Linked DNA regions of Schizosaccharomyces pombe. Changing the gene in region 2 together with the main gene of any one other region gives a genetic interaction. Each region holds a gene or a part of one and is shown on either strand. Other genes may lie near its edges.

Evidence for each region.
Region 1: of byr1 (region 2) and sla1, changing one suppresses a phenotype caused by changing the other (phenotypic suppression), as found in Schizosaccharomyces pombe (one study listed by BioGRID).

Annotation. Positions count from the first base shown.
Region 1 is NC_003424.3:1,381,659-1,385,930, reverse strand, and holds sla1 (La-motif domain-containing protein), read left to right. Parts: upstream 1-2,382; 5' UTR 2,383-2,417; coding exon 2,418-2,631; exon of another isoform or gene 2,632-2,706; coding exon 2,707-3,389; 3' UTR 3,390-3,523; downstream 3,524-4,272. Other genes in the region: mitochondrial dihydroorotate dehydrogenase Ura3, read left to right, coding at 1-421; disulfide relay system thiol oxidase subunit Mia40, read left to right, coding at 845-1,139, 1,208-1,854.
Region 2 is NC_003424.3:663,732-672,167, reverse strand, and holds byr1 (MAP kinase kinase Byr1), read right to left. Parts: upstream 4,165-8,436; 5' UTR 4,016-4,164; coding exon 2,993-4,015; 3' UTR 2,426-2,992; downstream 1-2,425. Other genes in the region: THO complex subunit Tho2, read right to left, coding at 1-1,685, 1,741-1,789; transcription factor TFIIH complex subunit Rad15 , read right to left, coding at 5,068-7,386.

The sequences.
Region 1 (4,272 bases), 720 kb from region 2:
TGTAAAAATTGCACCTGATTTGAACGAAGAAGAACTCACGGACATTGCCGATGTCCTCAAAAAGTGCAAGATTGACGGTGTGATCGTTGGTAATACTACCGTTCAACGCCCTAAGACCCTCAAATCAACTAGCCATGTTGAAGAGACGGGTGGTCTTTCTGGACCTCCTCTCAAACCTATCGCATTAAATACTCTTCGCACACTTCGTAAGCATCTTTCTTCCGATATTCCCATCATCGGCTGTGGTGGTATTTCTTCTGGCAAAGATGCTATTGAGTATGCTCGTGCTGGTGCAACTATGGTTCAAGTTTATACTGCTTTGGGATATGATGGTCCTGTAATTGCTCACAAGATTAAGCAAGAGATTCTTGCCGAGCTTAAGGGCAAACGTTGGGTTGACATAATTGGCAAGGAAGAATAGATTGGGATGTCAGTATATTTCTTTTAAAGAAAAAATTCAGTGTCGTTTACTGGTACATTATTATAGTAAAAATTTAACATATTATAGAAAATAATACTCACGTTCTTCTAATTAAATATTATAAATGAATTACCTTTTGTTTTGCATACCTAAGTTTGCTTGTGAAACTATTATGTCGCTAGTTTAATTCTATTATGAAATTAGTCATTCAGGCATTTCTTAGTAATCTCGTAAATCCTGCCAGTCTTGCTTGTCTTACATTTGTGAATACCTATTTACTTAAATCTGATTTAAAAAACATGCAAACTTATATAAACTTAGAATGAATGACAAAGTTACGTTCTTGTAAGATCGTCGCCGCTTTCTGACCATTACGCAGACATTAGAAGTTCAGAGCTCAACTTCCCATAAATCAAAAAAACCATGTTTGCTAAAAACTTACTTTTCAGATTTCCAAAATGTATAAGGATTAACGGTTACAATAATATGAGAAGGTCTCTACTGCAGAGAAATGGATTTCAAGCAGGCATTTGTCGAAAATTTGGTACTGCAACCAAAACTGATGTATGGAAAGGCCGTTTTTTGCCTATTGTATCTGGCGTTGCAGCTGCTTCTTTGACTGCTGGATATTTACTTGGAAAAAACACTTCAAATGCATCATCGAGTCAAGATAATGACCATCCTGTTGTAGGCGAACATGTCCATACGGAAACACAATGTAAGTATCATATGTTTGAAATGGCTATCTTTTTCTGTACGATTATATGAATTTAACTAACAATATAGCGTATAATGAACCATATATGCAGCGACACCGAATTGAAGATGCCATTGAGAAGAAAATGACAAGTGAAACACAACCTTCGACTGACGAGAAAGGCCGCAAGGTCAGCGCTACTGAGAATAGTGCACCGAAGAAAACTGATAAGGAAAAATCCAGCGGGGAGACAGCTGGAAATATACTTCGAGAACAAATAGCCACTGGTAAAGATGATGATGAATATGCTAGGAAATTTGAGGAAGTGGAGGAGGAGAGCAGCGAGGAGTCAGCATTTAATCCGGATACTGGAGAGATTAACTGGGATTGTCCCTGTCTTGGAGGTATGGCTCATGGTCCATGTGGAGAAGAATTCAAAGCAGCTTTTAGTTGCTTCGTTTATTCCAAGAGTGAACCAAAAGGTATGGAATGTCTTGACAAATTTCAAGCTATGCAGGCTTGTTTTCAAAAACACCCCGAAATTTATCAAGATATGGTAGGGGAGTCTGAAGAGGAAGACGCCGAAACTAATGAGAAACCATCGACTACATCTGACGAAAATAATCAACCACAATCTCCACCCTCCGATAATGCATCTAATCCTGAAGAAGACGTTATGAACATGGAGAAAGAAATTGTTAATCTTACACCTATGTCAGTTATAAAGGAAATTTAAAATTTTCGAGGCGCTCCGTTTACTATTTAAAATCCTTCAACAATATGAAATTGAAATTATTCAATTAAAGCATTTGATAGTGATCTCGTAACGAACATATAATGACTCCAACAAATGGAGTAAGTTTAAAGTATTAATGTCTTACATCGGTTTTAATAGTTAGCGGTTCTACAATAAAGTGGATATTAAATGATAATTCGAATGGGGAATCTTGATATTATAGGTTATATTGCAATTGTCGGTAAAGAATCATAAATAGGAAAACTAAAAGCTACTGCTTGTCATTATGGTTAAATTGTATCCAGAGCTACATTGTAAGGAGCAATCTCTGTTAATCTTTTCAAAAAAAAAAACAATGGAAATTCATGGGATTATTCTATCTATTATAAATCTATTATGAATAAACTACTTCTTTTTTAAGTGCCAACTTTTAACATTGTCTTCATGAGTAGGAAAATAATGTCAGTTCGATAATAGGGTAGGGTTAGAAATGCTTCTAGGAGAGGAATCCAACTTCTTATGAAATTTGCCCTTTGCCTGTCTCTCTACGAATAATTAACATCATGTCAACTGAAGAACAGAAGGAAGAAATTAAGGACATCTCATCTAAGCAGGAGAATTCTTCAGAGGTTCCCAAGGCCGAGGAAGCTGGAAAAGTAGTAGAAAGTCAAAAAGATACTACTAGTGAAGAAAAAAAGGAGGAAACTACTGAAAAGAAGGAAGATGATGGAAAAAAAGATTTATCTTTTGATGAAGCTGAAGTTTTAAAGCAAGTTGGTATGTTACACACTTTGTTTACGTTGGATTAAAACCTTTTTTGTGTTGAGTGGTCGTTACTAACAGTATGAATAGAATTTTATTTTTCGGACACCAACTTACCCCATGATAAATTTTTATGGACTACTTCTCAAAAAAATGATGGATGGGTTCCCATTCAAACAATTGCTAATTTCAAACGTATGCGTCGTTTTCAGCCTTTGGAAGCCATTGTAAATGCTCTTCGCAAGAGTCCTGAACTTCTTGAAGTCGATGAAGCTGGCGAAAAAGTACGTCGTATGATTCCTCTAGTTCGTGTAGACAACAAGAGCGTCATGGAAAGAAGTGTCTACTGCAAAGGTTTCGGTGATGAAAAAGATGACACTCAAATTGCTTTGGAAAAATTCTTTGAAGAAAATGCTGGTCCCATTAGTGCTGTCCGTATGAGAAGGGATGACGATAAAAAATTTAAGGGAAGCGTATTTGTTGAATTCAAGGAACCCGATGTTGCTAATAAATTTCTTGAGAAAGTCAAAACTGCACCTTTGAAATGGGGCGAGGACGAGCTCACTATAATGAGCAAAAAGGAGTATGTTGACATGAAAGCTGAATTACATAAAAACGATCCACCAAAGTTTAGCAGCAAACGCAGACGTTTTGACGCTTTTAAAGAGATGGATCGTCAGCGTCCTGGTAAATATAGTAACAGAGGAAGAAAATTTAAGAAGCAAAGGTCATCTAACGCTTCTGAAGAGAAGCCTTCGGCCGCTTCGGAGTAAAATGGATTAATTTTGTTTGTTTGTTTGTTTTACAAATACTTCAAAGACACTGGACAAATAAACTTTTTCGGATTGGTTATATTAGGAATTTTGGATGAATAAATAGTCGTTTCATGCAGTTATTTTGTACAATATGACCTCGTAATTTAATGCTTAAATCGTAACAATATTCGGCTATAAGTTTTGCTATACGAATTTTAAAGGTTTTGAATAATAGCAATAGTTTTTTGCTTCATCACTTATAATGTATCGTACTGAATATTTTAAATTTCACATGAGTTAATATTAAGTCCTATTTCTTTACCAGTACGACCAAGCTTGCATTTCAGAAGTTCTCAGTGGAATTTGCAATGATCAGAATTGACTGAATTAAGAACTTGTATATTTCTGGTGGATATCAACCATACAAGAATCAACTTTAACAGTAAAAATAAAAAAATATCAACCTTAGAACCATGCGTCTTTCACATATTTCCGACTGCACAGTCAACATAGGTTTACAGTTCTCGATTGCTTGACTGGGCTACGCTATCGATCCTACACATCAATATGTTCTTCAGAATACAAAATATAGTGAAGCAAAAATAGTTGACCTTCCTATAGCTTAATTATAACTGAGACATTGCTTAAGCTACTTGAAACAGAATTAAATTGAATCTTTGTTTTATACTCATTTTTGGGCTATGACTGATTTTATTACTATATATAATCAAACCGTAGTAGAAAGTATCGTTATTTCGAAAATAAACATCTAACTGACAAAGTTATTGTTTTTTATGCACTGTGCTGTTCTTCGTCATATGCTATAAGCTCACCACGTTACATCATGTTACAGATAACTTATTGTGGTTGTTTTCTATGGTACGCATTTTAGTGCTGGTAC
Region 2 (8,436 bases):
CCATAATGTCCGACTCTCAGAGCTATTATCGACACATTTTTGACCAATGCGGCAAAGCTTTGTCACTATAACAGGATCATGACACAGAGCAAGCCCTGACAAACGTAACCATGGGATAGCTATGTTGTAGAACTCTGTCAAGTTACGTAAAATTGGTATATCTTCATCATAATTTTCAAAGTAATAAAACACCTCACTTTCAGTTTTGTTGAATCGATCAGCAAAAGGATCCAACGAAAACACTAAATTTTTTTCCTTTGGAGGCCTCAGGGTAATTTCTCGAAGCCTAGAGTCTTCAGGAATGAACTTTGGCTGTTTAAGTCGTTCCCTTACATCATTTGGTAACAATTTCAATGGACTGTAATTTGCATAAATTGAGGAAATAGAAATATGCAAAAGTTTGTGATACAAGTTAGATAATTCGGGGTACGCCCTCAACAAAAATGGATAACGACCCAAGATTAATAGAGATGAAGATAAATCCCCGATGGACAATAAAGATTTTAGTAGACCCAGCTTCTGTGAAGGTTTGGCTTTTTTTATTTCAGGAACAGCTTCAGCTTTCTGGCCATCCATGGTTTCTCCGTCTTCAATTTCATCGTCGGGCAATGGGGCCGCCATTGTTAAAGCATTTCCTTTAGCCTTAAAAGTCTGTTCATCTAATTTATCCTTATATTTACCCAACTCTTTACCAAGCTCTTCATCTGATGGAGAAAGATGAGCCCATATGTTATCAATGCTAATAAAATTATATTTAATCAACAAAGCAACCATCATAAAGTAAGATTCCAAATTCTCGTCATCTTCTTTATACATATATTGCAAATTATGACCCAAAACTTGAGACATTATGCTCTTTGTATTGGTGAATCGCTCGTCAAAATTAAAAATACCATTAGCATTAGACAGATTATTTAAAAATGTTTCCTTTTCGCGATCAGGTAACTGATTCCAAAATTTCCGCTCTTTATTCGGACCCCATGGGCTGTTTCTCAAGATAGAAAGGAAAAAGCGCCACGAATCAAGTAAATTTTCAGAAAAAAGCAACAAAATCAAATCCAGTACTTTGTTCGGATCTAAATCAAAAGCACCAATAGTACTGATAATTGACTTATTTACTTGAACGATCAGATAATCTTCGTTTAAGGATTTATTGCGAAGACAAGTTAAAGCATCAAAAAAGTTTATCATTAAATGTGAAAATCCTTCACTTTCTTCTCTAAGCAAATTAAATTTTTTTTGGCGGTAGAGTAGCGAAGTATTTGTCCGCACAATTTTCCGATTTAGAAAATCGCCATTAGGAACGACATTAATATTTTCCAAAAATTTGCAATCCAAGCGAGAAAGCAACCATTCCTCTGGAAGGAATTCCTTTAGTCCTTTTCCAATTGAAACAAGCCTCTTTTCAGCTTTATCATGACTTCCTTCGTGAAAGTTTTTGATCCACTCTGTGTCAAATAACCAAAGCGTATCAATTACATAAGAAGCTAAGGTATTTTTTTCCTCCAATCTTTCAAAAGCTAAGGAAAAAATAGAGAAAAATATGTCTACTGGTAACTTCTCTTCAATGACACATTTTTGAAACAATTCTTGGATTGATTCAACACGTTCGTCACGCGTTCTATTAGATGCAACAAGTTTATCAATATAAGGCTCCCATTCCTCTGAGAGCTTCTTTTGATTTTCTAAAATTATATTCTGTTAATAAAAAATTAATCGGTATTACCTCGAACTTCTTACCTGAAACACTAACTTCGCCTTGCTGATCCTTTTCTGGCAACGAAGTCATGAACACTTGTTAAAAATTACAATCGTAGTGAAACGGATTGCAACAAAATTTTTTAATGTTAACAAGTGACAAGGCTAACTAAATTCAATCTACAGCACTAATCACTGATAAATCTTTTGCTGCGTCTTGCAAACAAGTAAAAACCCAGAAAGCTTGGTGTTAAAGTGAAATGAAAACTTAAAGTACTTCGCTACTTATTACAGTGGTTTTTCGAATCAGAAATAGCATACTAGCTACGCAGTTCGCCGTTAGTAATATTACGCTACGCTATAATACTTACGTTGATTATCACTATATGTCACATGTCCTAATTATTCATCGTACACGTACGTTACGATATTTAGGTGATCTTAATAATAATCTCTTAAAAATTTATATTATTTTGAATACTGTAAATAGAGCTACTGTTGATCCTCATTCCTCAGTTCAGTTAATAGCTAAATTAATGATAGGTAACAATATAATCTAGATAGTATAATACATACAACCTGTAGCTACAAATATTACCTGTATATTGCAATATAATAGGTCACAAGGAAAACTCTTTGGAGTCTACGTATCGTTAACACAGATACCAAACTGCATAGCTGGCAAGTAAATAATAATTGCTTACTTCGTTAAATTTTACATCTGAATGGTTTATGTATTAATTGTAATATTTGCAAACTACGGGCTTTAAGCTTTAATTTTTTATCATCTGGTTTATTAGAAGTTGTGCGATTTGACATGCAGGACTCTGATTAACTTGCTTGGGTAAAACTTAACTCAGACTATTGTGGACGCTGTAACTCAAGTAGTTAAAAAAAACATTCATTGACTTAAATCGAAAGCAATTCAGTGTACCGAGAATTACATTTGAACACAGTCGTAATGATAATTAATAATGGAATAACCAAAAAAAGAGGGCATTTACATAGCACTTTAATGAAGTAAAAAATTGATAAACAAAATATGATACCTATTTATGGCCGATCTAATAATGCTTTGTATTAAGAAAAAAGCGGAAATATTCGTCAACGACAAAATCTCATTGTTCTCCACATTGTGTTGTACCACTATAATTGAAGAGGTGTGGTTAGAACCAAAAATATCCATTTCATGACAAAGTTTAATTTAAAAAGATTTTTCTGAAATCCTTCTTTTTGACGACAAGATGTTTAAAGGTCTAACATAATTTATGTATCCATTGCGTCCTTTGCACATTTACGAGGATCTAAAGTTGGAGGCCCAAGAAGCAAGGTCAACATTAATCATAAGAGCCTGTTGAAAATATGGCATCGCACAGAGTTGTTGTGGAGAGGCGCGAAGTGTAGGGTCTTTATGTAAACAGGCATCAACGAAAAGTCTGAGGTCTTCAGGAAACGAAGATGGAAGTCTAGGTGGTTCTTCTTGAACAATACAATGAAGCAAATCTAGGATCCCTATTGAATCATCGATATTCGAAAACGACCAAGGTAATTCTTGGGTGGCAAGTTCAATAATGCTGATTCCTAGAGACCAAATATCACTTTTGACTGTATATTTTCCACCTCTAATTCGTTCAGGAGACATATAAGTTGAAGTCCCCACAAACGTTTGAGCAACCGAGTTAACTAGTTCACCTGAAACTCCAAAATCGCATAACTTTATTTCACCACGAGAGTTGACGACAACGTTGCTAGGCTTTAAATCCCTGTGAATGATATGTAAAACGTTGTATAAATAAATGAGACCCTTCACCATAGAATTTATAATTTTTCCTAGAATATCTAACGGAATAGGACCTCCCTCCCGAAGAATTGCATCAAGCGATCCGCAATCCATGTATTCCATACATAATGAAATGTTGTTTTTATACTGAAAAGCTCCATAAAAACCGACTATGTAGGGTGAACGACAGTGGTGTAGAACACCTAACTCTCGCAAAATCTGCTTCTGAAGTTTAGAGTCTGACCCAACATAAACTGTTTTCCTAGCCATAAAAATATTTCTATGCTTTACCAATGAAACAGCCCCACCATTTCCCTCTCCCAAATGCCTCACTACTTCCAAACTGCTATTGTCCAAATCAGATATCCAAGCTGGGCGTCGATTCATATGCGCACATTGCTCCATAAATGCTTCGACATTGGATTCAAAGCTTTTTTGATTGTTAATTAACTCTTCCTTATGATCATTATCAGAGCTTTTAACAGAGGCGTTAGGATTCAACACAAGACCTTTTGGATTTCGACGTCGTTTAAACATTTCTAGCTATTGGCCAAATTCTCAAAGAAACCTGTATCGAAGATTATATCATTTAAGATACTATTAAAGTTGCTTCTTTTTCTGTAATTTGACAGCTGACTGTATTCAATAAGTTACTTTGCTAATCAAAGATACAAAGCAGTAGTTATGACAGGATTCTGACTACCCCAACGTGACTAGAGACAACCCTTGCAATAAGCTACACTTATTTTTTTTTCTATATTTAAGAATTCCTGAAAGCGGTATCCTTTTTGTGCTAGAGTAATTTTTTTATACAGTAGTTTGGTAAAGAAACCATCATTGATCTTATATGTGCTTGGCAATTACGTATAAGCCAACCGTGAATCCGTAAAACCAAAAGATTTTTTATTTTCAAGAAATTTATATATTACATAGAATACAGCAATGAATCAGTTGTACAACCCCAAAACGTTCATTTATTTAGAACTAAGTATGGGAGACTAATTTTATCGACATAAAACTATCAAGGAAATTTTTTAGATTATGAGAATATATTATGAATATGTAAACTTTTGTTTTATGTATCTAAATGATAAACAGATGTTTTGTTTATATAACTAGGCTTACAATTACTGCATCACGTATTTTAACTAGCTCGCTTAATGTAAGCTTAATTTCCATAGCAGCATGAAATTGCCAATAATCACTCTTTGAAACGCTGGATTGTTATTGATGGGATGGAAAATTTAAGAAGCATTACAACAACTGAAACCGATTTTATTTGAACACAGTCTCTAAAAAAATTTTAAAGTACTTCGAATTTAGCGACTCGCAAATTAATTGCCAACTGAGTGTAAATAATATTTTTTCTCTGCTCTGCGATCTTAAAACAATTCGTAAGTAGCATGCGTATCGTGATGACGATTGAAATGTCCACTATACAACTCTCGAATACAAGTTGATACATACATTGTCCACACCTACAAAAAAGTTAGCCATTCGCTTCCAAATATCTTCATCGCTGTGTTCATGAGTTTTGGATTGCCTTAGTAAAGATGATTAGAATCAAAGTATTTTACAAATGGCTTCTATTAAGTTTCAACCACATCAATATCCATCTCATCCTCATGTTTGGATTGTTCTATAGCCGCAGACTTCAATGCTTTCTTCTGATGAATCAACAAATCATCAAGACTCCACCAAGAAATCCCTTCCTGATCAGACGCAGTGAAAGGCTGTGCCATAGTTCGTAAAAATTTTTTCGCCAAAGCGAGGGACATATCAGTGCTTAAATTTGTAGCGCCTTCGGTTATATACTGTTGAATCCATTTAGGTAATTTTGTACGCTTATCAGACCGACCATATCGTTTATCTGCTAACACCATAATTCCATGATCATCTTTTCCACGCAAAACGCGACCTAAACATTGGGCAGCATGCCGCATGGCATCAAATGTTAAGAAATCTGCTTCCCGAATTTGATACGTATCCCTCAGAAATTCTAACCGTGCTTTTAAAACACGACTCTCAGTATACTGATACGGAATACCAAACATGATTACTGCTCTACCATAATGATGATCAAAATCCACTCCTTCTGAGACTTTTCCTCTAGCGACTGACAGCAATACTGCTCCACGGCCATTGCTGCAAGCAGCCCGGTAAGTCTCTAAGGCGAGAGTTGTTTCATGAGGATCTGGTGTTTCCACCAAAATCAACTTATACTTCCAGACTTCATCTAGAATACCCATACTTTGCCAACTAGAAACAATACTTTCAAGGTAGAGATAACTTGGAAAAAATGCGACTAAGCCATCAGGTGTAATTTTCGAAAACTCAACCAGTATATTACCGTAATTGCGAACAACACTAGGATCATTACGGGCTTCAAATTTTGAAGAAATAGCTACTTGATCGCTACCCCGAGTAACTACCATAGGAAGGAAACAGTTTCGTGCAAGTGACATTCCATACGATTCCTGCATAACAGTATTAAACTGCAACATCTTGGGGTACATATCGAGGGGGGATAAAGTACCACTCGTGATAATCACAGACCTAAATCTTTCGAAAACTGGTTTAATAGCTATTGAGGCGTCAAGACAGGAAAACCGCAATATTGGATTGGGAACTGTAGCATTTTCTGTTTCAAAGGGTTCCAAAATTAGGATAAATCCACGCTCATAAGTAGCAACAAGGGTCGCAAAAGCTACTACTTGCTGCAAAGAATGAAAATCTTCAACTAGTGAAATTTGTAAGGCACGAACAAGACTAGTGAGTCGCTCAGCGCAAAACCGAAGCGGCTTTTTGTCTATAAATGTAATGTCTTTAACATGTTGCAAAAAAGAAGTTGGTGTTTCAGCAATAACGTGCAAAACTTTCATCCTTGTTTTTAAATATTCTACAAAACGCTTCAAAAATGCAATAAAATGTTCGGCTCGTCGAATATTTCCAGGAACAGCTTCCTTTAAAACATCCTCAGGCAAAACGGGATTCGCCATAAACTGGTCTTCGTCATTTGCGGCATTAGCATCTTGAAGGCCCCGAACAAGCTTTTGGTATTCATCCTGAAGTTTTTTTGAGTCAGACTGTTTTACTTCGTTGACTTTTTGCTCAAGAGACAAAATGCTCTTCGAAGCTTTTCTCAAAGAAGATTCTGTCAAATCAATACTTAAAGACTCAATACACACATTGTCAATATTGTGTGCTTCATCAAAAACAACAATGCAATCTTTACTGAGTTCTCGAGAAACTCGTTCAGCAATTTTGGGGTCTAGTAAATAATGATACGAATAAATAATAACATTACAAAACGGTAGCATACGACGTACAGTAAAATAGGGGCATCGTGTAGTTTTTTCGCCGTATTCTGTGATATCATCAAGGGTCCAAACACCGTTAGATATAAGGCTGTGTGGCTCAAGATCTTCCAAATTGTCGTGGAACTCACAAGTAGGAACATCCATACCAGCCAATCTTTGCTCCCGCACAAAACCCGCCGTAAGTGAGCGACAACGGGCATCTACCACATTCCCATTTTTTTCACGACGAACAGAAGGGTGTAAACATAAATTTTTGCGACTGGTTAGTCCGAGACCCAAAAATGGTTCTTCATATCCTAACTGTGAAGTCCGATACGCCATTAAACGCTTCAATTCAGCTAATGCTTTATCAATTTCCGACATGGTACGTGAACAATAGATGAGCTTGCGATGCTCAGGATAATGTTGTTGATATGAAACAATAAGGGACAAAAGAGAAATGGTCTTTCCAGTACCCGAAGGCATTTCTAAGAGCGCAATGCCTCCCGCATCCAAAGAATGTTTCAAATCACACATATACTGATACTGCTCGGGATAGATGCGTGGATAAGGAAACAGAATAGGTAGATCGTCAATATAGAACTTCATTATGGGTGTAATCCGTTGACTTTGAGGAAATTAATTTGAGTATATGACAGCCTATTGGACCAAAAAAAAATTTAGGAATTAAATAATAAGATAAAAAGTTGAAACAAAAGAATTATGAACTAGCATTGATGAATAATAGTGGGTAAAGATCGCTTAACAATCGCTTCATAAAAATGAAATGAATAAAGCGAGAAATAAATTTTTATGGGTATTATAAGAATGAGGTAGGTTCTGCTTTGGTTCAATATTTAGTCGTCAATCACTGATACACAAATATGAATAAGTTCACAAAGATAAATAAATAAACATGGGATGGAAGAGGGTAAAACAAAACGAACCAAGAAATAATTCTGACCTAAGGTTTAAGTGAGCTACTTTACAGTGAGAATCTCAGGAGAAACTACTTGTCGATCCAAGCTTAAAGAATGAGTCCTGAAATTAACAGTGGCTGCTTTATATTTGTAGTGCATATAGAACTGGATTATGAAGAACGCTGAGTTGGTACGGTAAACATTTATAAGCAAAATACTGTAAAGTACGTTAAATTGGATAATATTCGTAAATACATGGTGTACATACAACTATACATTGATGGAAATGACATGGTTAATGGAAGATGCAATTGCTTAATAAATACTAGTTTATTGGAAAAAAAATTCGTATTTTCGTAGTTACCGAGCATAAGCGCTACTTTGTTTTCTGAAAACAAGTTTCCGCAATACTACTCCTAAATAAACACAAGGCAAAAAGAATACATTTGCAATATTCCATTTATTTTGTTTTACAAGTCAATTCCCGACTCTGTAGACAAGTGAAAAAGGGCAAACTCACATATAGCTGCTGAATCATTTGCAAACTAATAACCGCTTATTCAAGCTTAATGAATATTATTCTAAAGAGGGAAAAACAAATACATACGTATCAGGATAAAAAATAAAAGGAATTAGAATCGCCAGGTGAGCAATAAACAGCAAGTCACCGAAGAGTTATCTTCTTGAAATCATACAGAATACTATATCAACAGTTTTTGAAATGAATGAAGTGGTTTTT